4 linked regions of the Alligator mississippiensis genome follow. The protein of the gene in region 1 interacts with the protein of each later gene in a pairwise test. Links are inferred from orthologs where the notes say so. Each region holds a gene or a part of one and is shown in the gene's direction. Other genes may lie near its edges. The genes, in order: CREB3, TSPAN4, MFSD5 and flavin-containing monooxygenase 3.

Region 1 (6,848 bases):
ACTGAGACCCAGTGGGAACTTGGCCAGGTTGGAACTGGCTCACCACGACAAGTGGTTATTAATACCTCTCATGGCGTCAGGGCACTGGCTGGGAACGTCCCTCCTGCCGAGTTGGCAGCTACAAATGGCTCATATGGCATGGTGTGTCAGACCCCAAAAGGGGCAAGCACCAGGGGCTCAGATGGCTACTGGGGTGGTCTGGCCTGACGAGGCTCCCTGCAGGCATGGCAGTCCTGGCCCCTCACCTCCTCCTTGCCCCTCTGCGCTGGCCGGCTCCCGAGCACGTAGTGGGGCACCGAGACCACAGAGGTCTCTGGCCGAGCTGTCCCCGGACCCCAGGCACGAGACACGGAGCTGCTTCCAACACGGGACTCGCTCCTTCCTGTTTCCCAGGGTAGCATTTCTGACCTGGGGAGGGAGCTCAGCAGCACGTGACCCAGGCAGCCCCGGCAGGCCACAGCCTTGCCAGGACCAGCACGGAGCAGCCTCCAGTCCCACACAGGCCACTTCATCAGCACTGAGCGCAGGAAACCCAACCCCAGCCCAACCAAGAGCAAAAGCTGCCCACAGGGTCAGGCTTACTGCCCATCCGCCGGGAGGCCCAGGGCTTTGCAGGACAGCAGCCCCTCCTGCTCTGGTCAAATGCGGTCCGCAGCGGCACCACTCCCCAGCTGGAGACCAGCATGTGTGCCTGAGGCAGCCAGTCTGGACCCTACCAGGCGCCACCGTCACTAACAGAACGGAGTCTCCCCACCTGGGACAGGATCACTGGTGACACCGTCTCCTCCCCATGGGATTTGCCCCATGTACCTGAGCCAAGCTGCCCTCCCCAGGCCAGCGGGAAAGCCCCTGCCCATGAGGGCCAATGCTCCCTGCTTCCAGGCCCTTGCCTTGCACAATTTTCTTCAGCCACACAGTCCTCACAGCCTTCACTTGGAGGCACCAGGTCACTTTGTGCCAAGCCCCGTTGTAGAGGAGAAGATTAAAATTAACTCCAGGCCAGGACCACCAAGGCCCCATCACGAAGCGTGGGCAAGCGAAAGCAACCCCAGCCTCTGCTGGAGGGCCTGAAAGCTGGGCACGAGGGGCAGGAGGCATCCGACGCTGCCAAGCTGGTGCGATGGCATTGCCTCCTGCCCTGCACAAGCAGCAGGACAGCAAGCCCGAGGCAGACATCACGATGCGCAGCATGACACTTCAGGCGCTACTCTACCTGACACGTGGCGAAGGGGAGCGCAACCTCACCCCCGCTGGGGGGCACAGGCGGGCTCAGCACTCATGCAGGGGCAGCACTTGCCTCAGCTGACAGGACTGCTGATGGCTCCACAGCAGTTGCCTCAGTTGCCCTGTAGCCCTGCAAGGCAAAGCTCTGGTGGCACAGCACCGTTGCCCCCGCGCTGCCCCGCAGAGCTCAAAGCAGTCCCACGTGCTCTCCTGCCCATGGAGATACAGCTCATGTCTGCACAGGCGCCAGCGCCAACAAGAGCCAAACAGCATGCCAAGGGACTGGCGGATGGCGCCCCTCCGAAAGCCCAGCCGCAGCGGAGCGGGGCAGCCGTGCCAACATACAAGAGAGGGTCTTGTGCCTAGAGGGGCGCAGCCGGGACGTGGCTCTAGTCAAGGCGACGGCGGCTGGCCCACCTGACCGTGCCCCCATACAGAGGAGCAACCGTGAGCAAACCTGCTGCCTTGAGTCCGGCCAGCCGTTCTCCAGGCAGGAGCAGTCAGAAACAGGCTCACATACCTGTCCAGACCCCTCACGTGGAAATGCACCCCCAGCCCTTCATCTGAGAGAAGCTATCAATCGCCTCACCTGGCGCCTCGCTGTCACAGGAAGGGCTTCGAGATAAAGGCCCCGCCACGCTCTGCAGGGCATGTCGGGGCCCGAAGCCGCTGCCCACAGACCAACGCATCTGCCTGTCCTTCAGCCTGGAGCACAGGCCCACCTCCCTCCCAGGCAGCTTCCCCCTCTGCCCACAGACAGGCAGCCCCTGCGACCTATCCCCTTCAGAAGTCCCCGGGCCCCAGCACGTGCTGGGGACAGCCCGGCAGCTGCCTTCAAAGAAACACTCCAGCTCTCAGGAAATGTGGGCATGGGGTGAACCCGCAACTGGGGCAGGGGAGAGGCACCCCCAGGACAGGTACTGCCAGGACCCCCAGCCCCACGAGGCAACAGAGCTCAGGGGAAGGCGTGAAGGCGAAGAGTCATCAGGTCTCATCAGGTCAGGGCCACAGAGCCGGGAGGATGCCAGGAGGGCAAGCAGCAGACCTCCCGCAGCGAGGAGATCCCTTCCCTGGGGCAGGGACCAGGAAACGCTGGTGGTTTCACAGCCCAGCAGCTGCATGGGACCGGGAAGCCTTACACAGCACAGCGCTGCGGACCTGGGGCTGGCACAGGGAGCGGGCGGGAGCCAGGAACCCTGCAGCAAGAGCTGCAGGACACAACTGACTAAAAATGGAAAGCGCCCAGCTCCGCGCTGCCAGGCCCCGCGGCCACGTCCATTCATCACCCGCTAAGCCAGACACTGCACGGCTCGGCCCCCCGGGCCACAGCCAGCTGGGCTCCACGGCAGGGACCCCCGCCCCCAGCCACGGCCCAGACAGGCCGTCTCGTCTCAGGGAAGGGGGCAGAGCAGGGGGCAAAGCCCCAGGTGCCAACAACGCCAGGGCGGCCCAGCCGAGCACCGCAACACCCCCGGCCCCGGCCCACGTGCGCCACGCTCCTTACACGCGCCCCGCGGGGGAGGGGGCAGCAGGCCCCCCGCGGCGCCGCCAAACCATGGCTCAGCCGCGAGTCAGGATGCCTCACACCCGGGACGGGCGTTGGCACGGCTTCCTGCCCCCCCGCCGCCCCCCAACGGCAGCTGCGGGATCCAGCACCAAGTGCGGCCCCTCCCGCACCCGCCCTGGGGCCCGGCCCGGGGCTCCCGCGCGCGCCGCCTCCCCCCACCCGCACCGCACCGCACCAGGCCTGGGCTCCGCCGTGTCCTCCCGCCCGGGCCGGCCTGCATCTGCTGCCACCGCCCCGCCCCGCCCCGCACACAAACCTGTCGCACAAAACCGTGCCCCGGGCCCGGAGCCGGAGCCGGCGGGCGGGCGGGCGGGCGGGCGGGCGCCACCAGGGCCTGCGCGCGGGGCGGAGGAAGGAAGCGGCGGGCGGGCGGGCGCGGAGCGAGCAGGAGCCGCAGGCGGCCGCGAGCTGCGCTTCCTGCCAAGAGGCAGCGGGCCCCACCCCGCCCCGGCCCGGCCCGGCTGACACGGCGGCACGGCAAGGGGCCGGGCAGGGCCGGGCAGGGCACCGGCACAGCCGGGCGCCGCGCACGGGGACCCCAGGGAGGGCTGCGCAGCGCGGGGCGGCCCGGGCCTGGGGGCCCGCACGCCCAGCGCCCCCCGCCCCGCACATCGCGGGGCGCCCTGCCGCGCACACCTCTTAGGGGCACCCCTCCGCACGCCCACCCCGGGCGCCCGCCTAAGCAGGAGACCCCTGCGGCGCGCGCTCTGGCCGCCCACATCTGGGGACACGCATCTAAGCACACACATCTGCCCCCCCGCTCCGCGGGCACGCACATCTGCCCCCTCCCCCCCCCGTACCTGGCCCGCGGGCTGCGCGGCGCTGCGGGGCGGACGCGGGGCTGGGAGCAGCACAGGGCAGGTACAGAGCGGCACTCTCAGCTTCCCGCCCCACGGCCACTCTGGGCCCTGCGCTCGATGGTGCCGGCGCAGTGAGGGCGCCGGGCGGGGTGAGGCCAATCGGGCGCCATCTTGGGTGCGGGCAGCGCCGCGGCCAATGGAGGCTCGAGGCGGCTCCGGCCCCTCGTGGGGCCGCGCGGTGGGTGCTGGGAGCCGCGGGCGCTGACGTCATTCCTGGTGTGTTGGAAGGAGGCGGCGGCAGCTGCGGAGCCGGGGTCGGCGGAGGTACCGGCGGGCGGGCGGGCGGGGCCGGGAGCCCAGGCGCGTGCACCCCCCGGGCGGGGACCCAGGTGCCCCCCCCAGACAGGATCCCCGGCGTCCGGGCCGCGGGCAGGCGGCAGCGCCAGGTCCCGCCCCGCCCCGCCCCGCCCGGGACCCCCCCCCCCGGGCCCGCCCCGCTCGGGCCCCCCTCCTTCCGTGGCTGGGCCCCTCTCCCTCCCCCTTGGGCCCCCCCCGCCCGGGCCAGGTCCCCCCCTCCCCCTCGGGCCGGCCCCGCCCCCCCTCCCCCCCCGGACGTGGCCGGCCCCGCTGACGGGTGCGCGCGCAGATGTCGGTGTCGGTGGCGGCGGCGGCGGAGCGGGCGCCGCTGGCGCTGGCGGACGGGGTCGGGGTCGGGGACGGGGTCGGGGTCGCGGACGCGGACCGGGACCTGCTGGACTTTCTGCTGGCGGAGGGCGCGGAGCTGCCGGCCGACCCCGGCGCCTGGGGCCTGCTGGAGCCCGAGGTGAGGCTGGGCCCCGGGGCGGGGCGGGGCGGCCCCTACCCCTACCCCTACCCCTACCCCTACCCCGCCCGCCCGCCACGCTGACGCTGGGGTCTGCAGCTCCCGGGAGACGAGGACGTGGACGCTTTCCTCAGCGCCCTGCTGAGCCCCTTCGCGGAGGGCCCGGGCTGCTCGGCCCCCGCGCAGCAGCCCCCGCACAGCCCCGACAGCCGGGCCGCGTCCCCCGGCAGCCCCCCCGGCCCCGACAGCGTCCAGTTCGAGCACAACTACTCCCTGCTGCGGGACGGGCTGTGGCTGCAGCATGCGCCCGCGGGACCCGCCGACGGCGACGTCTTCATCGACCTGGGTGCGCACGGGCCGGCCCCGCGCCGAGCCGCGAGGGGCAGGAGGCTGCGGCCGGGGCTGCCCCGAGCCCCCGGGCCCAGGAGCTGGTGGGGGAGGCTGCGGCTCCGTGGGGCGGGGGTCGTCTGACCCCTTCCCTCCTCTCCCAGACGCGTGGGCCGGGCTGGAGAGCGCGGAGGAGACCTCGGGCAGCGAGCAGAGCTTGAGCTTCCCCGTGGCCGTGGCCGTGGAGGACGTCGTGCCTGGGACCCCCACGCAGGTACAGCCCCTGCTCCCAGGAGTCCTGCAGACGGGCCGGCAGGTGCCCGCGGGGAGGCCTGTCGGGTACCGCGGACTAGCGGAGGCTCCTGCGCGGGGACAGTCCTGGTTCCCGGCGCCCGCCCCGCCTGGCGCTTCCTTCCTTACCCTGGGGTTTGCTCGTCTCCAGCTGGACCTGACGGAGGAGGAGAGGCAGCTGCTGGAGAAAGATGGCGTCACACTGCCGTCCCACCTGCCCCTCACCAAGGTGAGCCCTTGCCCGCTGGCACCGCACCCCTCCCCAGGCAGGGGTTCAGGTGTGGGCACAAGTGCTGAGCAGCAGCCCCAGTCCCCGGGGCCGTGGCACGTGGCTCAGCCTCGGTGGCTGGAAGGGGCAGGGGGCCAGGCCCCCACTGCTGCTGGCCCCACTCCTGTGGCTGCCCCCAGCCGGCTGCTGTGCTGGACCTGCAGCCACTGCCCCTCGCCCTCCTGGCAGCCAAGGCGTCACCTTGTCACGAGGGGCCTCGCTGCGCTCATGCAGGGAGCGGGCAGCGGAAGGATGGAAGCTGCCCGGCCCGTTAAACTGCCAGGCCTGTGTGCAGCCAGCCTTGTCCCGGGGGCCAGGGCTAGCGGCTCTGCCCTGTCCGCCTCCCTGCCTGTGCAAGGTACCTGCTGGCCGCGGGCTAGTGGCTGCACGGCCCAGGGTCCAGCCTCGCTGCCTGCCTTGGTGCCGGGGGCACGGCCAGTGACAGCAGTGACTGTTGCAGGCTGAGGAGCGGCTGCTGAAGAGGGTGCGTCGCAAGATCCGGAACAAGCAGTCGGCCCAGGACAGCCGCCGGCGCAAAAAGATCTATGTGGATGGGCTGGAGAGCAGGTACCAAGCCCGGCGTGGGCGGAGGGAGCCACGCATCAGTGATGTGGGCATGTCCCCCTGCCACAGCGCCTGTAGTAGGGGCTGTATCCATGACCTGGGGCACGGGGAGCAGTTCCATAGGAGGTCCTGTTAGCCCCACAGCCTCGCCCAGCTGCCATGCTGCCCCTGCGGGGCAGCTGGAGCTCTTGCTCCTGTGGCTGAGGGCCCAGCCCCTGCTGTGGAGAGCCAGGCCCTCTTCCTCTGGGAGCCTCCGCCTCTTCTGCTCACGTCCCATGGAGCCCTGCCCTGCCTCGTCAGCTGGGGGCTCCTCCCAGGTGCCTAGCACAAGGGCCCTGCCCCCGTAAGACCTTGGGAGCCCAGTGCTAGGAGGGCCGAGTCATGTGCAAGGAGCCGGGCCCTCCTGCCCTGCGCCGTCAGCCCCCAGGCGCTGAGCTGAGCCCCCAAGTCTGGTCTGGCTGATGTGCTGTCTTGTGTCCCCTGCCTGCCGGAAGGGTGGTAGCCTGCACGGTGCAGAACCACGAGCTGCAGAAGAAGGTGCAGCTGCTGCAGAAGCAGAACATGTGAGTCCCCAACGTGAGCACCTGGCAAGGGCAGCGGGGCCCTCTGTGGTCCTGAGCCCCTGCAGGGCAGCACCAGCGACTGGTGCAGAACAGTCCGAGCCTGTTTGCCAGGCACGCTGGAACTACGGGACCAGGGGGGATGGGAGGAGGCTGGCCTGGCCCGGGGCTGCGGCTGTGCTCACCCCGTTTCCTGCTCTGCTGCAGGTCGTTGCTGGAGCAGCTGCGGAAGCTCCAGGCCCTGGTGCGACAGTCCTCAACCAAGACTACCACAGCCAGTACCTGTATCGCGGTGAGTGGCCCAACAGCCAGGCCAGGGCCTGTCCCCTGTGCCGCGGGAGCCTCTGCCAGCCCACACACTCTCTCCTGCAGGGGCGCAGGGCTCCCAGCAGCGTTCGGTCCCCAGCCTTGGGCCAAAGCTGAC
Region 2 (7,310 bases), on another chromosome or scaffold:
GATTGATGATTTTAAAAGAGGTGGATTTTGAGGGTGAATCTTACCAGCAGCTCAAATTATTATATATCACAAATTAGCTCTTCATAGATATGAAAGAGAGATTTACTATGAAGCTCCTTGCTAAAAGATGCCCATTAGGGAATTGGCATTACTACAAGATATATACCACAGGTGAGGTGTTGAAAGGCCTCTGCCTCTCTTCTTCCCTCTCCCAGTATAGATATCCTGTTGTCTGAAAGGTAGACACTACACATTGTTGTTTATTATTCATTCTGGAGCCACTTTAAGGCATTCCTTTCTTCTGCTTCACTTTATAAATAAATCTACCCTTTGCATTGAGGACTGAGTTTCTAGCAAGTTTAAATAATTTTGCACTTCCATCCTCTCAACTGTCAGGTTACTTCTGGTTCCTTATGATCTTCAGTGCAGGTGGTTGAAATGAAAAAGAGGAAGTAAGGCAAAAGAAAACTGAGAATTCACTGCTTATTTTCAGTGGGAATTGATGATTTGCTACCTTAAGAGAGCATCAGATCTGGTGCTTCTGCCTCTTCCTTCATCTGGATGCCGGCAAATATGGATTAGTTGTAGGACCCTCAGGAACAGGATTTACAATGGAAATGCTGAATTGGCCTCTGTTTTACTTCAGCAACACTGTAGAGCACCACAGTTAATACCAAGTGGTCAACTGACACTATTTCAACATTGTCTATGTGCAACATTGTCCACCAATTAATGTATGCTCATGGGCATGGGCATTTTTATATGCTCACAAAGGGTGTTTTACAAACATGATTCACCACCCACACAGATTATACATCCTGAAGATACAAAGGAATTATGTTGGCACCCGAGAAATGTCCTGCTGGTTATCCATTTAGTAATACTACTCTATTATTTCATTTCACCAGTTCTTTCTCTGCAGAGATATAGCCTGCAGTATCTGAGTGTTTTGAATCAAAACTAGTGACAAAGGTGATACCTTTTATTAGACCAACTAGATATTTGCAAAAAAAATGGCTTTATCTGCAAGCTTTTGGGCACAGGCACCCTTCACCAGGCATAGGAGATTGCAAAGATTGTAAAAGTTCTCCTAGGTAGAAATGAAAATTTATATTTCATATTGAGTATTTTGAAGGCATCAATGAGTTTAATCTCACAGTACCCCTAACTGGTAGTGTTGTTACCCTCATTTTACTAGACATAAAGGCTAAAACCACCAAATTTCTCCAGGGACAAAACCTTCTACTCTAGAATCCTACAGAGGGAAGAGCCCATTGTTCTACTTTTAAGTACCTGTGAAGTACAAAGAAAACTGTCTCTCTGCCCCCCTTCTGGACTATCTGGTCTAAGTGGAGTTAATTGCCTTTCAAGCATGTAAGTGACTGTCCTACACCCATTTTGATGGAGTGAAAGCCCCAGACAATCATACTGGAGATAAAGCTGACATCTGCTTTTAGCCAAAAAGATGCTTTAAGGCAAGGCTGTTCAGGGAGTCTATGATAGATTAGGTGGGAACTCATATGCCTCTATTTCCCAGGCACAGGGAGGAATCAGAGCGGGGAAGTGACAGTCACAGGAAAAGTAAAGGGTGAATCAGAAGCCCAGGAATTCTGTTTGTTTGGGACAGTGCTTGTACCCTGGAAGACAAGGACTTTATTTTTGGGACTGGGTTTGTACATCAGAGAAAAGGGAGGGAGCAGATAGCAGGTGTGGATTGTAAGAGCCCACCTTGTGAAAAATGCCTCTTTAAACAGAATGAGGAAACTGAGGGATGGGTGAGTTGTAGCTCACCCAAGGCTCAGAGGCAAGTGGGATCAGAGCCACACTTAGAATCTGGGAGTGCATAGTTTTTCTTCCTAATGGGAGATAGGCTGCAAAAAAAAAAAAAAGGGGGGGGGGGGGGGAGACAGGCTGCACTAACCCACTGTGGGGAAGATATTTCATCATGACCAGGGGGAACATCATGACCATTAAGGCAGTTTTCCTACTTGCAGGGGAAAACCACTTTCTTGGTGGGGGTAGGACCTTGTCCAAGGTAATGTATAGTTGACCTCCCACTTTCTCTTCCAGTGGGAAGGTCTTGGCTTTACACCCGCTTTATGGAAATGGAAGACTCCTTCTGTGGCCATATGGCTGAGGGCAAATTGAAACTCAGGGGCATCTGAACCCCAAGTCTCTAGGATTGGACCTGCATATAGGATACTTGCCAAAGGATTTAGAAGCATCTGAAGCCCCAGGCAGGGGTGGAGGATGTCTGCTGGTAGCAGGGCCACATATGGTTCTTGAATGACTCACGGATTTGGAATTGATTTGGCTTGGAAGATGAAAAATTTTCCTTTAAAAAAAAAGAAAAAAGGAGACTCCTCCCTAGTTTGCTTCAGGCATACGGCTGAGGGCATGTAAAACTCAGGGCATCTGAACCCCAAGCCTCTAGGTTTGGGCTTGCACATAGAACACCTGCCAAAGGATTTGGAAGTATCTGAAGCTCCAGGCGGGGGTGGAGGATACTTGCTGGTAGCAGGGTCTCATATGGTTCTTGAATGATTCACACAGATTTGGAATTGATTTGGCTGATTTGACTTCGGACACAAAATTTTTTCCATAAAAAAAAGATGCTAACAGCCTGTGTCTGGTGAATTCTTATCCTGGAGAGAAGATGAATGAGAACCATTAGACTCTAGCATAGCAGTTTATAAATGAACTGAGTGAGAGGATGGTTTGCGAGAATGAACCATGTGAAACCACCACATCTCACTTTCTCTAATTTGCTCTCTAATTAATTGATGTCTGTGTCTGTGTTGATTTGTGTTGGTGCCGCTGTGATGGCTCTTATGAGAGACCTGGTTTCAACTTGATTGTTTCTTTACCTGAGCAAGCCATTTAAAAACACCAGCTAGCTAGTAGCTACCTCTTCACCCTGCCCCAGGGAAACAGTCAGTGACAGTTGCTGCCTCCCAACCCTACAATCCAAATTAACATGACATTTAAAGGAGGGGAGAAAGGAGATAATAATGTTCCTATTTTACAAATGGGGGTGTGAGGCACAGGGGGAAGACTAAAGACTTGTCCAAGGTCATATAAGAAACATACAGCAGAGAAGGGAATTGAGCCTAGCTCTTCTGAGGCTCAGCCTATGCATGTAACCATAGTCCCAGGCTCCCTTTCTGAAGAAGTTCTACTGCAATGGGGGCTAAAAAAAAATCATAGGAAATGAGGGATGGAAGGGACCTTAGGAGGTCATCTAGTCCACCTCCCTGCTCAAAGCAGGACCATCCCCAACTAGATATTTTGTGGCAGGCATGTCACAAATTAACCCCACATTTTCTCTGAGTATAACTCTGATCCCCTCCTTCTGCCAGATCATCTGTTCTGCTTTCTGCTCCCTGACCAATCTGCTGCTCTGTTTTGTGCTCCCTGTCTTGTCTGACACTGCGCTGTTTGCCCCCTCCCTGGTTTGACAAGTGCCACACAGAGGCTGCCCATACCACTTCGGCATCCCTGACACAGTTTGGCCACCCCTGTTTGACTGCATGAGAGATTGTAGACTGCTTGGTGAAAAGGTGGTTGAAATGTCAGTGTGGTAGCAGCCAGTTTGAGAATGTGATACCCCCACATGTCAGTCTAGCAGGCTACAGGACAAAGACAGAGACAGGTATGTTGGCAGAGAGGCAAATGAACTGACAGAACTTTACACTGAGTAGTGTAACAATATAACAGGAGAGTGCCCCCCTCCTTGATAGACTTAGTACACAGGTTGAGCTAGCCTTTTTGACAGACTTTCCTACAAAACACATGTGCAAAGGATGCATGATTTTTTTGGTCAAAATTCTGATTGTCCTATGTGATCAACACTCCCTGTACGAGTGTGAATATTTCAGTCTGTCATATAGACATACTCAGTCCTTTTAAGACCGATTGCATTTCAGACTACATCTGAATTCAGTTGCTCCTTGCTAAAAACTAAATCTCAGGAGCTGCTAGCAGCTGGGATGATTAAAACTCACCCCATGTTCCAGTGTATATTGGACTGGTGGAGAATAGAATTATCCAAGGGAACGGACCTGGTGAAATCTAAAATACATGCTGTGGTCCCTCCACCTGCACGCTGATTGGTTAAAAGCAGCTCATGCTGGATTTGCTAAGAAGAAACCAAGGGGAGGTTTTATTTTAAAGAAGGTGGGGGTGAGAGAGTAATATTGTCTGAGGATAATTTTGATTGGCTGGGGGAGGGCAGGAGCCAGCGAGAGTGCTGAGCCTGCATTCATGAGATACAGTAAGAAAGCTCATTCTCTCTGCCTCTCGCTTCAGATGCAGGGATGGACCACAGAGCTGTGACTGTATACTAGCAGAGAGCATGATTGGACTGGAGTCTCAGAGGAGTGTCAGCAGCACTGTGAATGAAGCTCCGTGGCTCACTTACCATAGGCTCTGTCTGTGTGAGAGGAAACAGGGATCATTAAAGTGAGCGGAGCATCTCAGGGCAGAGCAATGTGGCTAAGAGCAACGGGGCATGGGATCTGTTCACCTTTTGGATAATTTCTGTTCTCGCCCACAAAGCTGTGCAGCGTCCCCTATGCAAGTGGGTGGCATGTGGAGCCAAGGTTTTATATGGCATTTGTGATAAATGCAAGATCCAACTTTTTTCTAAATTTTGTTGCTTTGGGTACAGTGTCTCTCTCTCTCTTTTTCGTTTTTGGTAGCGGGCCGGGCCGGGGGGGAAAGTGTGACACCGGAGGGAATGTTTTCTTGTTCAGAAATCTCTCTCACGCGGAAGCACGCTGTTCCCTTACTCCTGGCTAAGCAGACTTCAGTTCACCAACTTGCACGCTTAACTCCTTGACAGAATGGCAGGCCAAAGAACAGCTGTTGCAAAGCAATAGGGGGATAAGGAAAGAGGAAAATAATTAATAAGCCTATCGCCCCCGCCGCCAACACTCAGCAACTACTGCATCACTACTAACCACGGACCGCTCGGAAGTCACCATGCGCAGGTCTAGCACCGATGAATCGACCTATCACAGGAGCCCTTCTTTGGACAGCAAGGATTACAGTTTTCCAAATGGCGCCTTCCGTCGCTACAGCAGCATGTACGGTGGCCAGTTTGGAGCTGCCAGCAACTCATTTTTTGGATTCCACACCAACCCAGGCCCTAAGGCCACCAAGGCTAAGTACACGTCCCCCAAGGGAAACAAGTACGTTGTCTTTTACCTGGATCTCTCATTTATTTTTCTCCTAGAACTGAAGAGGTGCAGCATGGCTCACAACTGTCTCCAGTGCATCAAGTACCTAATGTTTGTCTTCAACCTTCTCTTCTGGGTGAGTACATGCTACAAACCACAAGATGTTTGCATTTGTGTTTATTAAGTTTGTGGTGGTTTGTAAAGTTGTTTGTGGTGCTTTATAAGGTTATTGTTTCTTTTACGCTTCCTAACAGCTGAAAATCGCATGTAAGTGAGGTCTAGGCCAGTCCTCCTTTGGCTATGCTTAGATGGAGCCAAGATAATATGCGTGGTTCTACAACCCAAACAGTAAGACCCTGATATAGGGCAAAATACACTGTATGCAAGGTCACTTGTATAGATGTTCTTTGGTACCTGGAAGTTGTATGTTCACTGCATGGCCTTGATTCTTCACTAGTTCAATCTACACCTAACTTTGAGTATGTGAATGGTCTCATTGGAATCAGTAGGACTATTGTGTGCTTAAAAATAAGCAAGTGCTGAAGTGCTCTGCTAGACTTAGGACAATGTGCTAAGTATCTTACACTATTCAGTTGGTTATGAGGAATCTGCAGATAATTTTTCTTCCCCATCATTGCTGGCTCCCTGTGTAAGTATTTCCTCTCAGAGTTGTATATCTAAACTGAAATCCAGTGCCTGTCTCACCTAGTTTGAATTATTTGAGGTGGTTATTTCATGGCCTGAATTCACCCGAATAGGAGGTACTCATGGGCCACCACGGCACACAGGACAGGACGTATCTGCATGCATCTCTATGTCATTTTAATAGATTAAGCAGTTGGCAAAAGCAGGCAGGTGGGTATTTCTCTGCAGTGAGGGTCCTGAATGCTGTGATCCATGTTAAAATGAAATAACTTGATTGGTAAGATGGTAGAGAAAGGGAGTTCTTGTTGAAGGTAGCCCACTGCAGTTCCCAGTGTGGGAGGCTCTCTTAATAGGGGCCTGTCTTCAGTTACTTCATTTGTGTTGCCCCCAATGTGGACCATCAGTGTGCTAAGGCAGAAGGGAGTGTCCTGGCAGCTCTATATTGGTACAAGAAAGGACATGGGGTAGGGGGGAGTGTATTGTAGCTGAAATTCCTTGCTTGCTTACTACAGATTCTCTATGCTATCATGCCTTGCCAGAGGTGAAAGAAAAGGATGTGTGCACTAAACTGAAAGAGTATTTTTCCCCCTTGTATTAAGCACTAGAGTACAGCTGCTAAAGCCATGCATGCTGCAGTGTCTTGTGCATCAGAAAGCACTACATGTAGGTAAGTTCCACTGGTATGAGTAACACCCCAATGCCAAGGGGTCAGGATGTAATAAACTAATATGCATCCACTGAGTGTCCTGGTTCAAAGAAGGGATATAAAAAAACAGGGAGGGGGGCCTTTTAAAGCCCCAGATAAGCTGATAGAAAGTGTCTCCATGGGACTGCAGCTTGTCTTCCAGCTCTGATTTTCACATGCTGCTGGGGTCCCATAAGTCGCCTGATGTTTATCCCAGCTTATTCCAAAGCTTCCTGAAAAAGAAAGGGATGCTGGTTCTTGCTCTTTTAAGCCTTTTGCTTCCTCTTAGACAATCAGCCGCCTCTGACCAAGATTATGGAGCAGTCGGCAATCTGAATGGTGTGCTAGAGAAATCCGATGGAGTTCTGGCATAAATAGCCCTTTTAAAAACTATGTTTGGCGGTGCCACAAAGACTGTTCTCCCTATGCTGCTTCCTTTTATTCCATTCAGCCTGAACCGAAGCTTATGCATATGTTTAAAAATGTATTGCTGCGTGCAATGTGCATGCATTTACAATGGGAAGATGCCAGGCTATTTCCTCAGAGTGTTTCACAGTGGCAAAGCTGTAACAGTTTTTCAGTAGCAGGGGTGAGGGTTGGAGGGGGAGATTTTCTTCCACTGAAACCATGAACGCTTGTCCCAAGCATTTGGGGGGAAAGGGCTGGTTAAAATGAAAGAAAATATGCATCATAACAGTGCAGGCACAGGGAACGGGTGGTGTCAAGTGCTGCAGCACGGTCTCTACTTTGTTTCCCTTTGACATGCTTCGTGCACAGCAGGAATGATTGATGATGATCGT
Region 3 (7,063 bases), on another chromosome or scaffold:
TGCCTGGCCGTCGGCATGTCCCGCGACGGTGAGTACCCCCCAGCCTGGCCGGGCACTTTGGGACGGGAGGTGAGAGGGTCTGGGGGGGTGGGTTAAGCAGCTCCCACTCCACCGCAGCCTTGCAGGGCTGTCCTGGGCGCCTGTGGGGCCCCCTCTGCACCCTTCCCTGCCAGGGGCTTGTTGCACCCCACTCATCCTCGATGCCCTCCACAGCCGTGCGCTTTGGGCGCATCCCCAAGCGGGAGAAGCAGCGCCTGCTGGATGAGATGCAGAGCTACATGAGCAGCCTGGGTGAGGCGCCCCTGGACGCGGGGCTGGCGCCCGAGGGCGAGGCGCCACCCAGCCCCGTGGCCCAGGAGGAGGAGGCCATCGGCGCCATCTCCCGCGCCTACCACGACATCTTCGGCAGCGGGCAGGACCGGGCAGGCGGGCCTGGCCCCCCACCTGGCTACGCCGACCTCTCGCCCGGCTACGGCTACGGGCAGCACGACCCTGCCAGCCTGCGTCTCCCTGGGTACGACCCCGCCAGCTACCCCGACAACACCTCCCAGCGCTATGGCCACGACCTCTACGGTGCCCAGCAGCCCGGCTACCTGCCCAGCCCCGGGAGCTACCCCGCCTTCGAGTACGGCTACGCTGAGGGCAGCCCCCCGCGTACCTGCCCATGGCGGGGGGCAGCCAGCAGAGGCATCGTAAGTACGGGGCTGGCCCCAGCTGGGAGGAATGGGGGAGCCCAGCACAGGGCCCTTGCCCGGGGGGATGTAGGGCAGGCACAGCTGGGCATCTGGGGGGAAAATGAGGCACAGAGAGGCCAGCAGTGGCATCCGGGCCATGCACTGGAGTCAGAGCTGGGAATAGAGCCCAGGAGTCTGGGCTCCCAGACCACCCTCCTTAGACCCAAGCACTCTCCCAGAGCTGGAAATACAACCCAGGAGCTACAACCCTGCAGCTCCCTGCAGCCCTGGACAAACCAGTCACCGTGGGGGGCAGGGGGCTGGGCAGAGCAGGATGGACCCTGGGGGGGTTGGGAGCCAGGCACCCCAGTGTGGTGGAGCTGACTCTGCCCCGCCATGCTGCCCAGGCCTGCCCACTCAATGCCAGCCCCTGCTGCAGCCCGGGCACCAGCCGGCAGCAGGCGTGGGAGGAGTTCTCACGCTGCTTCACGCCCGCTGTCAAGGAGGTGGTGGAGTTCGCCAAGAGCATCCCCGGCTTCCAGGGTCTCTGTCAGCAGGATCAGGTCATGCTGCTCAAGGCCGGCACCTTCCAGGTGTGTGTGTCTGTGTTTGTGTGTGTTAATGCACTGCCCCTTGCAGGGGGGATCCAGCTCTGTGTGCGCGCACACATGTGTGTGTGCATGTTGCCCTGCTGGAGGGAGCCAGCCCTGCTTTGTGCATGCGTGTGCACATGTGTGTGTATGCATGCATTGCCCCATGCTGGAGGGATCTGGCCCTGTTCTCTGTGTGTGCAAGCACATGTGTTTGTGTGCATGCATGTGCATGTCTGTGCATGCATGTTCATGTGCATGTGTGTGCAGGGGTCCAGTTCTGTATGTATTTGCACTCCTCCATACCTCGTGTTGTGGGTGTCTTCACCTCCCCCTGCGCAAACGGGTTTCCTAAGCCTTGCTGCCTGCTCCCAGCCGCCGTCTGAACTTCTGGGGCCACGTGGCTTAGCTCCAGTGCTGCCCGCGGGGGCGCTCCCTGCACTGTGCCAGGCTGGGCAGGGCAGGGCACACTGACCGGGGTTCCCCGCAGGTGCTGATGGTGCGCTTTGCGGCGCTCTTCGACCCCAAGGAGAAGGCGGTGACGTTCCTGAGTGGGGAGACGCACGCATTGGGCGGGCTTCGGGCCATGGGGATGGGTGCCCTGCTCGATGCCATGTTTGACTTCAGCGAGAAGCTGGGCACCCTGGGGCTCGACGCCCAGGAGATGGCACTCTTCATGGCCGTCGTGCTCGTCTCCGCAGGTGGGCGAGCGCTTCGGGGGGAGTGGGGGGATCCTGCTCTCCACCCCTGGGCAAGAAGAAGGCTTGGTTACAGGTCACAGCTCAGCCTGGGGGTATCCGGGCAGCCAAAGCCTGGCCCCTTCCAGCCCGGGCGGGGTTTGTCCCAGGGCTTTCACAAATAAGCATTGCCCAGCTAAGGTTGGGGGCTTCCAGACATGCGAGAGAGGGGCGGGGGTTTCACAGGTCTGCATTATAAGTCCTGTTCCTCCCTTCCCTCCCCCGGAGAGTTTGGTCCCTGTGTTGGGAGAGGCCACATGTGTCATACACCTCGTACGGCTGCCTCCTTGCTCAGGGGATCCCCCTGGGACCGGGCAGGGTGTTACCAGGCAGCTCTGCCTGCTCCACAGACCGCTCGGGCATCTCAGACGTGGAGGCTGTGGAGATCCTGCAGGAGACCCTGATCCGGGCGCTGCGGACGCTGGTCACCAAGAAGCACCCCGACGACTCCACCCTCTTCCCCAAGCTGCTGCTGCGCCTGCCTGACCTGCGGACCCTCAACAACCAGCACTCGGAGAAGCTCCTCGCCTTCCGCATCGACCCCTGAGCCAGAGCTGGAGCCAACGTCGCTCGCGGACTGGGCGGAGGGAAGGGGGTGGCCGGTGCTGCTGGGCAAGCCCCGTGGAGCCAGGCTCTGCTTGCCTCAAGCCCCAGCCGGGCCCCACCGCCCGGCATGGTGGCCTGGACTGATCCCCGCCGTGGCACACTGTGCACGGCACTGTACATATGCCCTACTTTCCTCTGGCAGCACGTGCAAACGTGCATGTGCAAGCCTCTCTATTGCCCCGAGGCTCGCGCCTGTATATATCCAGCCTGCCTGCGTTGTACATGCCAAGTAGGTCCCAGGGGACAGATGCCCCCCAGCTGCATGCTGTGTTCCCCCATGTCTCCCCTCCCCGCCCCTTCCCAGCCCAGGCTCGCTCCTGCAGGGGTCCTGGGGGCTGCATTTGCTTCCAGCTGTGGGGAAGAGCCATGCCAAGAGGCTGTCCCACAGCTCCTTCACTCCCATCTCCCTGTTCCCCCCCACCTGCTGTGTTTGGTCTTGGATTTTTTAACATCTCAAGCAAAAACAGGGCTTCCACTGATGCCCGGCACAGCTGAGCCCGCGTCTCTGTGGCTCGCAGGGGGCTCAGCAGCCTGTGGGGAGGGGTCCTGGTTCTCCGAGGGGGGGCAGCTTGCTGGCTGACCTCCCTGGGGCCCTCCCTTTGCCCACGCAGGTCCCACCTTGGGCCACGGGGCTTTCTGAAGATGGACTCTTCCCTGCTGAAGAAGCTGTGTGGCCCACATTGAACACAGGAGATTTGCCTCCAACTCTTCCCGGTCTCCCTGACCTCCTGTTCCTCTAACCACTAGACTCGATTCCCCTTCCGGGCGGGGGGCAGTCACTGGGCTGGGGTCCAAGCACAGGGCAATGCCTGCCCCCCATCACATCCCCATACATATCAGGTCGGTGCGGGGATAGGGGGGGGACAGATACGCCCAGCCCACCCCATGCATGGCGCGAGTGGGGGGTGCTCTCTGCAGGAGCGTGGAACTGCTGCTGCTGCTTTGTTCGGTCGTCGGAAGAAAAAAGCCCCCAAACTTTGCACTTTTATGAGGAATGATGCACAGCGAATCCTCCCCCGCCCCCTCGGAGTCGGGCCGGGGGCGGCCGGACGCCGTGGACAGAGAGCGTTTATTTTTTCTCGAATATCAAAGTGCAATAAACTGAAGGAAAACAGAGCTGAGCGTGGCAGCGTGGCCCAGGCGTGGCTGTCCTGGGACCGGGGCAGGGTTGATGGGGGGGTGTAATCCTGCACCCTGAGCCCCCAGCGTCAGGAGCCAGGGGAGCTGGGTAGAAGCCGGTCCAACGCAGGAGCCGGGAGTGGGCCGGGCCACCTGCCCTGCCGGGTCTGGGAGTGCCACACCGTGGGAGCTGCGCCGTGGCTCGTGGCCCCCGCTGACGGCTGCCCTGCGGCGCTCCTCGGCTGTGCCCACGCTGCCCTGTGCCCACACCATTGCTGTGCTGCGCCCATGCCAGGGCCACGCTTGCCCACGGCCACACTCGGCTCATGCCAGGGTCATGCTCCCCCTGCAGGGATGCCGGTTGCCATAGCAATGCAAAGATGGCATGGGGGGGGCAGTGGGTCTTTTCTTAATGACAGCCAAGGGGGGGCATAGAGGAAAAGTGGGAGTCAAAAGTGACAAAGGTAAAAGGTCACAGCGTGGGGGGGGCATGGGTCACATGACACCGCCCAACATGGCGGCGCCCAGGAGAGGCAACGCAGAAATGGGGAGCATCACGTGACACCGCCCACAAGAGGCAGCATGGAAGTGAGGATCACGTGATGGCGCCCGGGCGAGGGAACGCGGAAATGGAGGATCACGTGCCCTGAGAGGCAACGCGGAAGCGGGCGGGTTAATCACGTGACACCGCCCAACATGGCGGCGCCCAGGAGAGGCAACGCGGAAGCGGAAGTGGGGGCGGGCGCGGGGCCGCGACGCCGGCAGCCCGAGTGTCCCGGGCGGGAGGTGAGGAGCCGGGGCCGAGCCAGAGCCCGTGTCCCGGCGGCCCCAGTGGTTCCTGGGGACGGGCCTGAGGTGAAGCCTTCGGACAGGGCCGCGCAGCTGGCTGTCCCGAGTCCCCCACCCGTCTGGCAGCGTGTCCCTCTCTGGCCCCAGGAGCCGCGGAGCAGAGCCCGGGCAGCGCAGGATGCTCTGAGGCACCATGTTCTTCACGGCGTACGTGGCCTTCGTGGTCCTGCTGGCGATATGCCTGGGCTTGGAGTTCTCCGCTTGCCGCTCCAGGCTCACGGGCAGCGCCTGCACCAACCCAGCCTTCCTGCGCTTCCAGCTGGACTACTACCAGGTGTACTTCCTGGCGCTGGCAGCCGACTGGCTGCAGGGCCCCTACCTCTACAAGCTGTACCAGCACTACCACTTCCTGGAGGGGCAGATCGCCATCATCTACGTGTGTGGCTTTGCCTCTAGCGTCCTGTTTGGGCTGGTCTCCACCTCCCTGGTGGACTGGCTGGGCCGCAAGAAATCCTGCATCCTCTTCTCCCTGACCTACTCCATCTGCTGCCTCACCAAGCTGTCATGGGATTACTTCGTGCTGGTGGTGGGGAGGATCCTGGGCGGCCTGTCCACGGCCCTGCTGTTCTCCGCCTTCGAGGCGTGGTACGTCCACGAGCACTTGGAGCGGCACGACTTCCCTGCTGAGTGGATCCCCGCCACCTTCGCCAGAGCCGCCTTCTGGAACAACGTCATCGCCGTCGGGGCCGGTGTGGCGGCCAACCTCTTTGCCGAGTGGGCGGGGCTGGGCCCGGTGGCGCCCTTCATGGTGTCCATCCCTTTCCTTGCGCTGGTCGGCATCTTCGCCATGAAGAACTGGGAGGAGAACTACGGTAAGAAGCGGGCACTTTCCAAGACCTGCACGGACGGCCTGAAGTGCCTCCTCTCGGACCGGCGCGTCCTGCTGCTGGGCATCATCCAGGCCTTGTTCGAAAGCGTCATCTACATCTTCATCTTCCTCTGGACACCTGTGCTGGACCCCCATGGGCCTCCGCTGGGCATCGTCTTCTCCAGCTTCATGGCTGCCAGCATGGTGGGCTCGTCACTGTACCGCATCGCCACCTCCAAGCGGTACCACCTACAGCCCATGCACATCCTCTCCCTCTCCGTCCTCATGGTCTTCTTCTCCCTCTTCATGCTGACGTTCTCCACCAACCCAGGGCAGGAGAATCCCTCTGAGTCCTTCCTAGCCTTCCTGCTTATCGAGCTCTCCTGTGGGCTCTACTTCCCGGCCATGGGCTTCCTCCGCCGGAAGGTGATCCCCGAAAAGGACCAAGCGGGTGTCCTGAACTGGTTCCGGGTGCCCTTGAACCTGCTGGCCTGCCTGGGCATGCTCATCCTGCACGACAGTGACTACAAGACGGGCACCCGGAACATGTTCACCATCTGCTCCGTCATGATGGTCATGGCACTGCTGGCTGTCGTCAGCCTTTTCACCGTGGTGCGGAACAACGCTGAGCTGCAGGTGCCGCCTTTGCAGGGACACACAGAGCCGTCATCCCCAGAGCTCTGAGCAGGGGTTGCAGCCACCTGGCATGACAGAACAACCCTTGCCAGCTAGCATGGTCCCAGAGGGCAGTGGGATGCCTGTGATCCTCCTGTAGAGGGCAGGGCTCTGTAGGATACTGGGCTGCTGAGGAGAAATGAGCTCTGAGGCCTGGGCTGCAGCATTGGACTCATGTATTCTGACTCTTTTGGGGAACTTGCTGTCCTGACGTGGTGCGGCACCCCTGGGTTCTCCTCTTGCCCCCAGTGCTCCCAATTCTCTCCTTCCCCTCCTCTACCTCTTTTCTCAAGCTGCCAATGTCAGTGGTGCTGGGGAAGGGCCTGCCTGTGGCAGGCAACACACTGGTGGCAGGGCCCAGCCACCTGGTTCCCAGCATTTGCCGGCAGGGGGATTGTCTGTGTATTAAAGTATTGACCCCCTGTCACTGCAGAAGCCAAGGGTCCCCCTCCACTCTGGTTATTATTTTTTAAGAAAAATAAAACTGCTTCCACAGAATGGTTTTTGAGCCCGCGAGGTTTCTTTCTGGGCTCGGGCTGTGGACGGGTCAGGATCCAAGCAAGAAAGAACCAGCCCCACGTTGCTGCGTCTGCAGAGCGTGGGGAGGCAAAGGTGGCAGAGGCTGAGCGGTTCTTGCAGGACACCTTGCAGTGCTGCCCTGGCTTCTCCCCATGCTCAGAGGAGCTGTGGTGCTGGAGGCCATCCCAGGGTGATTGGGCATGCAACTGCTGGAGGGGGCAGGGGCAGGCAGCCCAGTATGGACTGGGGAACCTGGTGTACTCGCAACCTCATGTACGTCTCCTAGAGGCAGGGGCTGTTGGAGAGGCTGAGGCCTGGGACCACCCAGCAGGTCATTGCCCAGAAGTGTGTCTGGTCTCACCCTCCTCCCCCATCCTCTTCCCAGGTTTTCTCCTTCCCTCTTTCCCACTCTTTTCCTTCTGTTTTCCTGGGGAAGCACTGGCTGCCAATCCCTGTCCTGGGTCCTCTCCAGCTGCAGGGGGTGCG
Region 4 (7,014 bases), on another chromosome or scaffold:
TAATGGTAAATCCAGGATACACGTTACCACCTGCTAATCAGTGGCAGGCAGGCTGTGAATGCTTAGTGATACAGGCTCTTGCCTCCTACTCTATGATAGAACTGGTGGGTTGTAGGCATCTAAACTGAGTTGGATTGTTTAGGAACAGGGTAGTGTCAGGGCATCTCAGAGAGGTTCAGAAGCAGCACAGCCCCAGTCAGCTGGGTGCCTATAGAGCAGACAGAGTCAAAGCCTCTGGGTCCCAAAGTGGTTAAATCCCTGCTGGTACTAATTCCCTCTGCACCCAGGCCATGCTGGCAAACAGCACTGCAGCACTGATGGCGAGCAGCAAACCTTAGCACACCAAATGGTAGCAGGTTGGCTTGGGGCACTTCAAAGCAAAGTGGGGCAGCCATCAGGATCAATCTTCATTTGCTGCAATAGTGCATTAAGCATTCAGAGACATGGTCCCCTGGAAAAAGCACACACCATGTAAGGAAAGTATCAGAGGGAGAAAGCAGTTCCCCCGCTGAACTGTGGCAGTGGCTACCTTCCCCCTTAGAACTAACATGCCAGCGGTGCTTTATGCTGTCTACTTAATGTGTTCCACATGGAGCACGCTCCTCATAAACATTACTTAGAACAGGAATAAATCCGTCCATCAACACTTGCAAGTCAGCAATTGCCTCATTGAATTGCTACATGAGAAACTTTATTTTTTGGGAGGGGGGTGACAGGGGCAAACCTAGAATTAGCCTGTGGCCATTCAGGAGTTTGGAAGGGGAGCAGGTCTCTGTATATAATTTGCTGTCTGGCCAACTGCAAAACATTTACCCACACACTCTTCTTACCATGACCTTCCTGTGTTCTTCTGGTACCTTGTGGAATAAGGTAAAACATTAGGGCTGTGCAAAGCTTCAGGTGGTGATTCAATTCAGAGGAGATCTGGCCCAATTCGGTGGCTGCATCTCCAAATCTGAATAATCAGGAGACCAATTAAAAGGTCCAAATCAATTCAGAACTCTCCGAATCTTTGGAAAAGATTCGAAGAGCTTTGATATTTCGAGCAGTCCCCAGTGCAGCTTTGATGATTCGAGCAGCTCCCAGCTGCAGCCAACTCTGAGCTGGTAAGTACTAGGGGTGGAGGAAGGTGGGCTGGGGAAGGGGGGAGGGGACCATGGGGGGAGCCCCCATCCCCTGCCTGCTCCCCCAGCCCCCCACAGGTTCCCCACCCGCCCTAGTTCCCGGCCCTTTCAAGAAAAACCCTGGTGCTCACTGGGTGCTGCCGGGTAGGGGGGGTGATCCCCACTGCCCCACACTGTATGGGAGGCTCTGCATGAGCCCCCTGACCTCTGCTTCCCCAGCCCCGCCATGGCTGCCCTGCCTGATGCAGCTCTGGCCCTTCAAGGGAAAAAAAAACCCTCAAAGAAAAGCCTTGGGACTCACCACTCCTGCAGCAGCCTTGGGGCTTCTGGGGGCTCATGCAGAGCCCCCAATGCAGCAGGGGGCAGCGGGGATCGCCCCCCCCCCCCACCACCTGCAGGAACAGAGAGTCTGGAGGTTTTTGTTTTGTTTTTTTCTTAAAAGGCCAGAGCTGGGGCCAGTGAGGCAGCCATGGGGGAGGACTGGGGCAATGGATCAGGGGGCAGTGGGGGGCAGCAGGGATCTCCCCCCTGCCCGGCAGCACCTGCTGAGTCGGGGCTTTGTTTTCCCCCCCAAGTGCCGGGAGCTCAGGTGGGCAGGGCAGTCACTGCCCAGCTGATTTGGCCAAATCAATTCGGGACAGTGATTCAAATCACCAAATCCGATCGCTATCCCTCGAATCAGCCGAATCCAAATCCAAAACGAATACTAGCCACTTCGCACAGGCCTAGTAAACATTTATAATATGGAAGTGAGAATATTATACACAATGCCCTAATATAAATCACAGTTATGATTCTCTGTATATGCTGGGGATTGTAAATGTACCAGACAAATTAATGGGGTTCTAGGCTGTACAGGGAACCATTATAGATCCTGCTCAGATTCTACAGAATTCTAATGCACACCAGGTCAGAAACATCAGCCAGTGCTAAAATAATAGGACTGATGTGTAAAAAGTTCTTTTCCTTCCTTTTCCCCCCTCCAGCTTTTCAAGTTTTACACCTATGGAAAGCAAAGGCAATAACCAATGTTAGACATCTGAGAGGTAATTGCATAGGACATTTAAAAAATAGAAAAACATTTGCTCGGGCCAGATAGAAACCAGATGGAAAAAGAAAGTCAAGCGGATATGCAGAAGTGCAGTCAGGAAGAAGACTTCAAGAGGATAAATCTGCTTACAGAAGGTAAAAGTATTACCCAAAGGCAACCTGCATATCCCAAGGCTTTTCCCATGACAGCATAGGAAAAGCTCTAATACAGTTTGCACCCGCTAGGCCTCGAACATCTTGTTCCGGGCTTCCTTAGTTCGAGCGTTCAACGAGACTTGCTTTGCCGTTGCAGGTGGTCTTACAGGAGGTCTTTACACGTGCTGCAAGCTGCCCCTTTCTAACCTGCCACGACTTTGAATCTCTTACAGTGGGGGGCTTCGTGCAACACGGTTGCCCTCGTTAGACGCCTGCTCCTTTGGGGTCTTCCGCGAGGCTCCACCTCCCCTATACCTCACCCTATACCCAGCCCGGCAGATCCTGGTCGCTTTTGTGGCCAACCTTGTGCTCCATGATCACTCCCCAAACAACGAGCCCTCCGCTAGCCTTCCCACTTTTCCTGCTTCCACTCGACCTCAGCCCCTTCCGACATGGGGAAACATAAAATACCCTTCTCTAGTCAAAGAAAAAGACTTAATGAATCCTAAGAAAATCACCACACTTCTGGGCTTCCTTGCGGAACACAGATAGCCCTTCCGCATATCAATTCGCCCACAGGGCCTCCTCAAGGTGCCCTAGCTTCGTGGCTCAGCTCCCCCCCTGCCCAGGTTAGAGCCGTTCTCCCTCCAACTTCCCGCTATTGTGACCCTCTCTCTGGGTCCTCTCAATATTGCTGACCCCTCTCTGAGACCTCCAGTATAGTTGCCCTCTCTCTGGGTCTTCGAGATGCATCTGCCCTCTCTCTGGGTCTTCCCAGCGCGGCTGCCCTCTCTCTGGGTCTTCCCAGCGCCGTTCTTCTCCCCGCACCTTGATCCCTTTTACCGACTCGCCTCCTGCCTTGCCTGTCGCTGGGACTCCTATTCCGGGCTCTGGCTCGCTGCCTGGGTCGTCTGCTCCTCCACAGCCGGTGACTGTCGATACTCCCGGCGTCCCACGCCCCCAGCTGACTCCACTGGTTGGACTCTCCCTTGGCGTCCACGCGCCCCCTTCCTCTCTCACTGCCGGCCCTCTTATTTCCACCAGCTGATGATTGGGGCTGACGTCATTCATCGGCCGCAGCTGAATAAAGGCACAGCTAATAATCCGCGCAAGCTTCCCCCATTGTCCTTGTTTTTCGTCGAGTCCTGCTGTAAGTAATTTTTCTTTTTTTACTTTCATTTTTCTTGCTCCTCCCCCCACTGCTGGCCCTAGGGTTCCCCTCTTGGGCTTGGGAGTTTCCCCGGTTTGCCTCTCCTTGTGACACAGTTCTTCATGGGAAGGGGGGAAAAGTTTGACCCCACTGCTAAGAAGCGGCAATTTGGGGAAACTTGGGTGTCCTCCAGTCATTTTAATTTGCATTCAGGTGTCTCCTGCTGGTTACTCAAATGTAGGACCATCAAGAACTCCACAAGAGAATGTTTCCTTAACAATTAGAGAGACTGCTTACCAGTGGTTGTGAAATGGTCTGGATGCTGTTACACAGCTAGTGACACAACTGTGGGAAGTAGCCACACTTTAATAGAACAAGAGCTGGGTAGTATGGATCAGAGATAATCCTGCCCTGGAGTGTCTTAACTTCGAGCCACATACTTTAAAGTGGTGTAATGTATGGATAATTCAGGGGTTAAGAGCTCCAGGAGCTACCCAAAAATTACTGTCTAACAAGTCCCTAAAGGGGATTTGCCATTTAAGATAAGCTCCTCCCTCCATTCAATTTCTTGCCTCAAAGACTAACAGATATCAGGAACAGCCTTAGTCCTGCCTGCCTGAAACTCAGGGAGCTGCTTGGAGAAGAAAAGAAATGCATGTAAGTGGGGGAAGGAGGAAGGGGCTTCGAGGAAGAAAATGTAAGGAAAGCTGCTGACCTGAGCCAGAGAAATAGGAAGAATAGCTGAGAAAAGCAAAACTCTCCAGCAGGTCTTGGCTATCAGTCCCATTTCTTTAGCTTATTGGACCTGAATCTGTTTTACTGAGCATTAGTAATAATCAGAACAAGCTACAACTACTTAGAGAGAGAGAGCGAGAGAGAGTGCATGTGCAATATACCTGTCCAGAAAGGTGCCCTGATTTTTCCCAACAGAGCTCTTAGCCGTTCTGCTGATAGTGTGTCTGATTCTTTCCTATTCCATAAGCTGATCATATATGTTTCTCCCCCCCACCCCCAATACAGGAGACCATGTTAAAAAAAGTGGCAATTATTGGAGCTGGTGTCAGTGGACTGGCATCCCTTAAGTGTTGCCTGGAGGAAGGACTTGATCCCATCTGCTTTGAGAGAAGTGATGACATTGGAGGACTCTGGAATTTCACAGTAAGTGGGGAGTTTGTTTGGTAATGACAAGACACACATTGCTGAAGGCTGTCTGTCTAGTAACATTCCAGCTTCCTCCTCTTTCCTCCAGTGTGCTTGGCCCTGTATTTGTATATTATTGCATTGCTTTCCATGAGGTGTACAGACTGCTTGGCTCTTTCAGCCCAGGGGCCTATAATATCTTTACAAGAGATTACCTAATGAAGAGCACCATGCCATTTTGTGGCATTGATCAAGGATGATGTTATCTGTGCTAATACTTGCCCAAATGGGTTACAGACGCTCAAGGGCTTATATGGAAAGGAACTGAACGTCTACAGTTTCAGAACTGTGAGTGCTCTGAAATTTAGGTCTTCAGATCTTGTAAAAGTTGATTCATGTTAATCACACTCTGCAGTGCAACCCCCCTCCCCCTCTCCCCCCCCCCCCGGCACCTTCTTATTGCAGCCAGGAAAGTAAGTCACTGGGATGGGTTTTATTGTGCTTTCCACCATTAATAATTATAGTTAACTGAATGCCTTAACAAAAACACCTTGTTTCAGCTTCACATATTTCAGAGTGAGGGTAAAGGAGTAATTTGGGGACAAGAAGGAGGTGCAGCCTGAGCCAGCTTAACAGACCATATTACAAGTTTGCTTTGGCAGGCAGTGTCAGGGATTTCAGCATGACAGTGGTTATTCATTCAGCCATTATCAGGGCATGTTTGCTAGGCTCCAATTCAGGTTAGAAAAATACTATGAATTAGGGATTTGACAATAGATGAACTATTAGTTTACTGACTGACACGAATAATTGGAGGGAAAAAAATTGCTTGAATTTAGCCTCAAATCATTTTATTTCAGTTTCCTCAGAAAACTGAAAAACTGAAAAGCTGTTAAAAAGCTTGGTTCCATATGTTTTCCATTTTGGGGTTTATAACAAAAATCTGTCTGCCTTTTTTAAAAGAGTTCCTTATAACAGCAGAGGCACAATAAAGACTATTAATGGAGTTGTTTGTTACTCCAAAACAGAAAGTTTCTTATAATTGATTATCTTATTTTATTAAAACAGTAAAATCTTATTTCCATTATGTTTGGGATGAAATATTTAGAACTGATGTGGGATAGTGGACTGCGTAAAGGCCCAGTGTAAGTTGCAGTTCTGTTTTAACACTGGCTAGAGATTCATGTGCCCATCTCTGGGTCTGTATTTCAAGTTCCCTATTTATAAAATAGAGCAATAACTGAGGTGAGGAAAGGTTCAAGTTTGTGCACTGCTATGAAGATGGGTTGATCTCATGGCCAAATCACCCCAGTCTGCATTAAAACCATTGGAAGAAGGCTTTTGAAAGAGATGTCTGAGAGCAGTCCTAGAAGTTCTCCATATTATACGCCCCCATATTGTTCTGTTGGAAACTGGTGTTTGCCTCCTTCTCCTTCTACCCCCATGGAAAGGCCCTGGGGACCTATGCACGAAGCCTACTGGTGCTCTTCATCCCTCTGTATTTCCTGGTAATGGGGTTCCATTGCACTAACCTGCACAGCTGCAGATCCCAGTTCCCCAGGGGAAGCACTGCAGAGATGTTAATACAAGCTGGGGCATTAGTTCTTTTTCTGAGGGTTCTTCATCAGGCCAAAGTCAGGGGACAGTGATCTTATGCACATACCACTCAGCTACCCCACCCATTCTCTTTTCTCATCCAGTAGTGGACCTCAGACTGATAGAAACTACCACCCCAGGACAGAGAGCACAGGGCTGTGAGTCACCCAGCTGTAACTGTCAAAGAGAAATTATAGGAAACAGCCAAAGGCAAGCACAAACCATGGAGTCCATAAAGGAAATGGAAGCCTTCCCCAGGGACTGGATGGCCTTGTAAGGCCAGGTCTGAAACATGGGTGCCTTTGTCTACAATACCACCTGTATAAACCAAGAGGAGGGAGCACCTTACATTGCCTTTCAGAGCCTGCAGTCCATTGTCATATGTGATCTCCCCCCAGTACAGAAGACCATAGTAAAAAAGTGGCAGTCATCAACTTAGTTCTTCTTAAATTTAGAACTAAATCTGAAGGACATTGAATTGGCAGGAAAATGAAGTCCTTTCTCTGTTGAACTGCTACAGCAAAGGTGGTGGGGTAGTGGCACTGGTGGCAGCTGCTGCTTTCTTCATACCACCCTTGTAACATATCCCGGTACTGGTTTGCAGAGACTACCTCAAGGAGGCCTAGGGGGGATTCACTTTCTGTGGCTATTCCAGCTTTAGCTTCCATAGTGACCACAAAAACATGTTAATACCATCTCTAAGCATGGTTCTTTTATGGAACAGATGCTTAGAATAGGACCAAGGCCCCTGTCTAGTTTCACAGAGGTCACACTGCCTGCATCATGCACTGCCAGGGAATGCTTGAATGAGAGATGTCC

Evidence for each region.
Region 2: the proteins of CREB3 (region 1) and TSPAN4 interact in a two-hybrid assay, tested with the Homo sapiens proteins (2 studies listed by BioGRID and IntAct). The two-hybrid records come from large-scale screens. The link is inferred for Alligator mississippiensis from reciprocal best matches to the Homo sapiens genes CREB3 and TSPAN4.
Region 3: the proteins of CREB3 (region 1) and MFSD5 interact in a two-hybrid assay, tested with the Homo sapiens proteins (2 studies listed by BioGRID and IntAct). The two-hybrid records come from large-scale screens. The link is inferred for Alligator mississippiensis from reciprocal best matches to the Homo sapiens genes CREB3 and SLC61A1.
Region 4: the proteins of CREB3 (region 1) and flavin-containing monooxygenase 3 interact in binary tests that used the Homo sapiens proteins (3 or more experiments, as listed by UniProt). The two-hybrid records come from large-scale screens. The link is inferred for Alligator mississippiensis from reciprocal best matches to the Homo sapiens genes CREB3 and FMO3.

Annotation. Positions count from the first base shown.
Region 1 is NC_081826.1:303,314,993-303,321,840, reverse strand, and holds the start of CREB3 (cyclic AMP-responsive element-binding protein 3), read left to right. Parts: upstream 1-3,833; 5' UTR 3,834-3,915; intron 3,916-4,237; coding exon 4,238-4,414; intron 4,415-4,513; coding exon 4,514-4,760; intron 4,761-4,905; coding exon 4,906-5,015; intron 5,016-5,183; coding exon 5,184-5,261; intron 5,262-5,760; coding exon 5,761-5,867; intron 5,868-6,358; coding exon 6,359-6,427; intron 6,428-6,631; coding exon 6,632-6,716; intron 6,717-6,848. UniProt on the Homo sapiens protein: Endoplasmic reticulum (ER)-bound sequence-specific transcription factor that directly binds DNA and activates transcription. Plays a role in the unfolded protein response (UPR), promoting cell survival versus ER stress-induced apoptotic cell death.
Region 2 is NC_081825.1:184,699,012-184,706,321, forward strand, and holds the start of TSPAN4 (tetraspanin-4), read left to right. Parts: upstream 1-4,293; 5' UTR 4,294-4,983; coding exon 4,984-5,316; intron 5,317-7,310. UniProt on the Homo sapiens protein: Structural component of specialized membrane microdomains known as tetraspanin-enriched microdomains (TERMs), which act as platforms for receptor clustering and signaling.
Region 3 is NC_081838.1:9,208,016-9,215,078, reverse strand, and holds MFSD5 (molybdate-anion transporter), read left to right. Parts: upstream 1-4,306; 5' UTR 4,307-4,708; coding exon 4,709-6,067; 3' UTR 6,068-6,556; downstream 6,557-7,063. Other genes in the region: nuclear receptor subfamily 1 group D member 1, read left to right, coding at 1-28, 214-692, 1,082-1,267, 1,755-1,965, 2,352-2,548. UniProt on the Homo sapiens protein: Mediates high-affinity intracellular uptake of the rare oligo-element molybdenum.
Region 4 is NC_081828.1:45,459,577-45,466,590, reverse strand, and holds the start of flavin-containing monooxygenase 3, read left to right. Parts: upstream 1-4,013; 5' UTR 4,014-4,110; coding exon 4,111-4,116; intron 4,117-4,479; coding exon 4,480-4,617; intron 4,618-7,014. UniProt on the Homo sapiens protein: Essential hepatic enzyme that catalyzes the oxygenation of a wide variety of nitrogen- and sulfur-containing compounds including drugs as well as dietary compounds.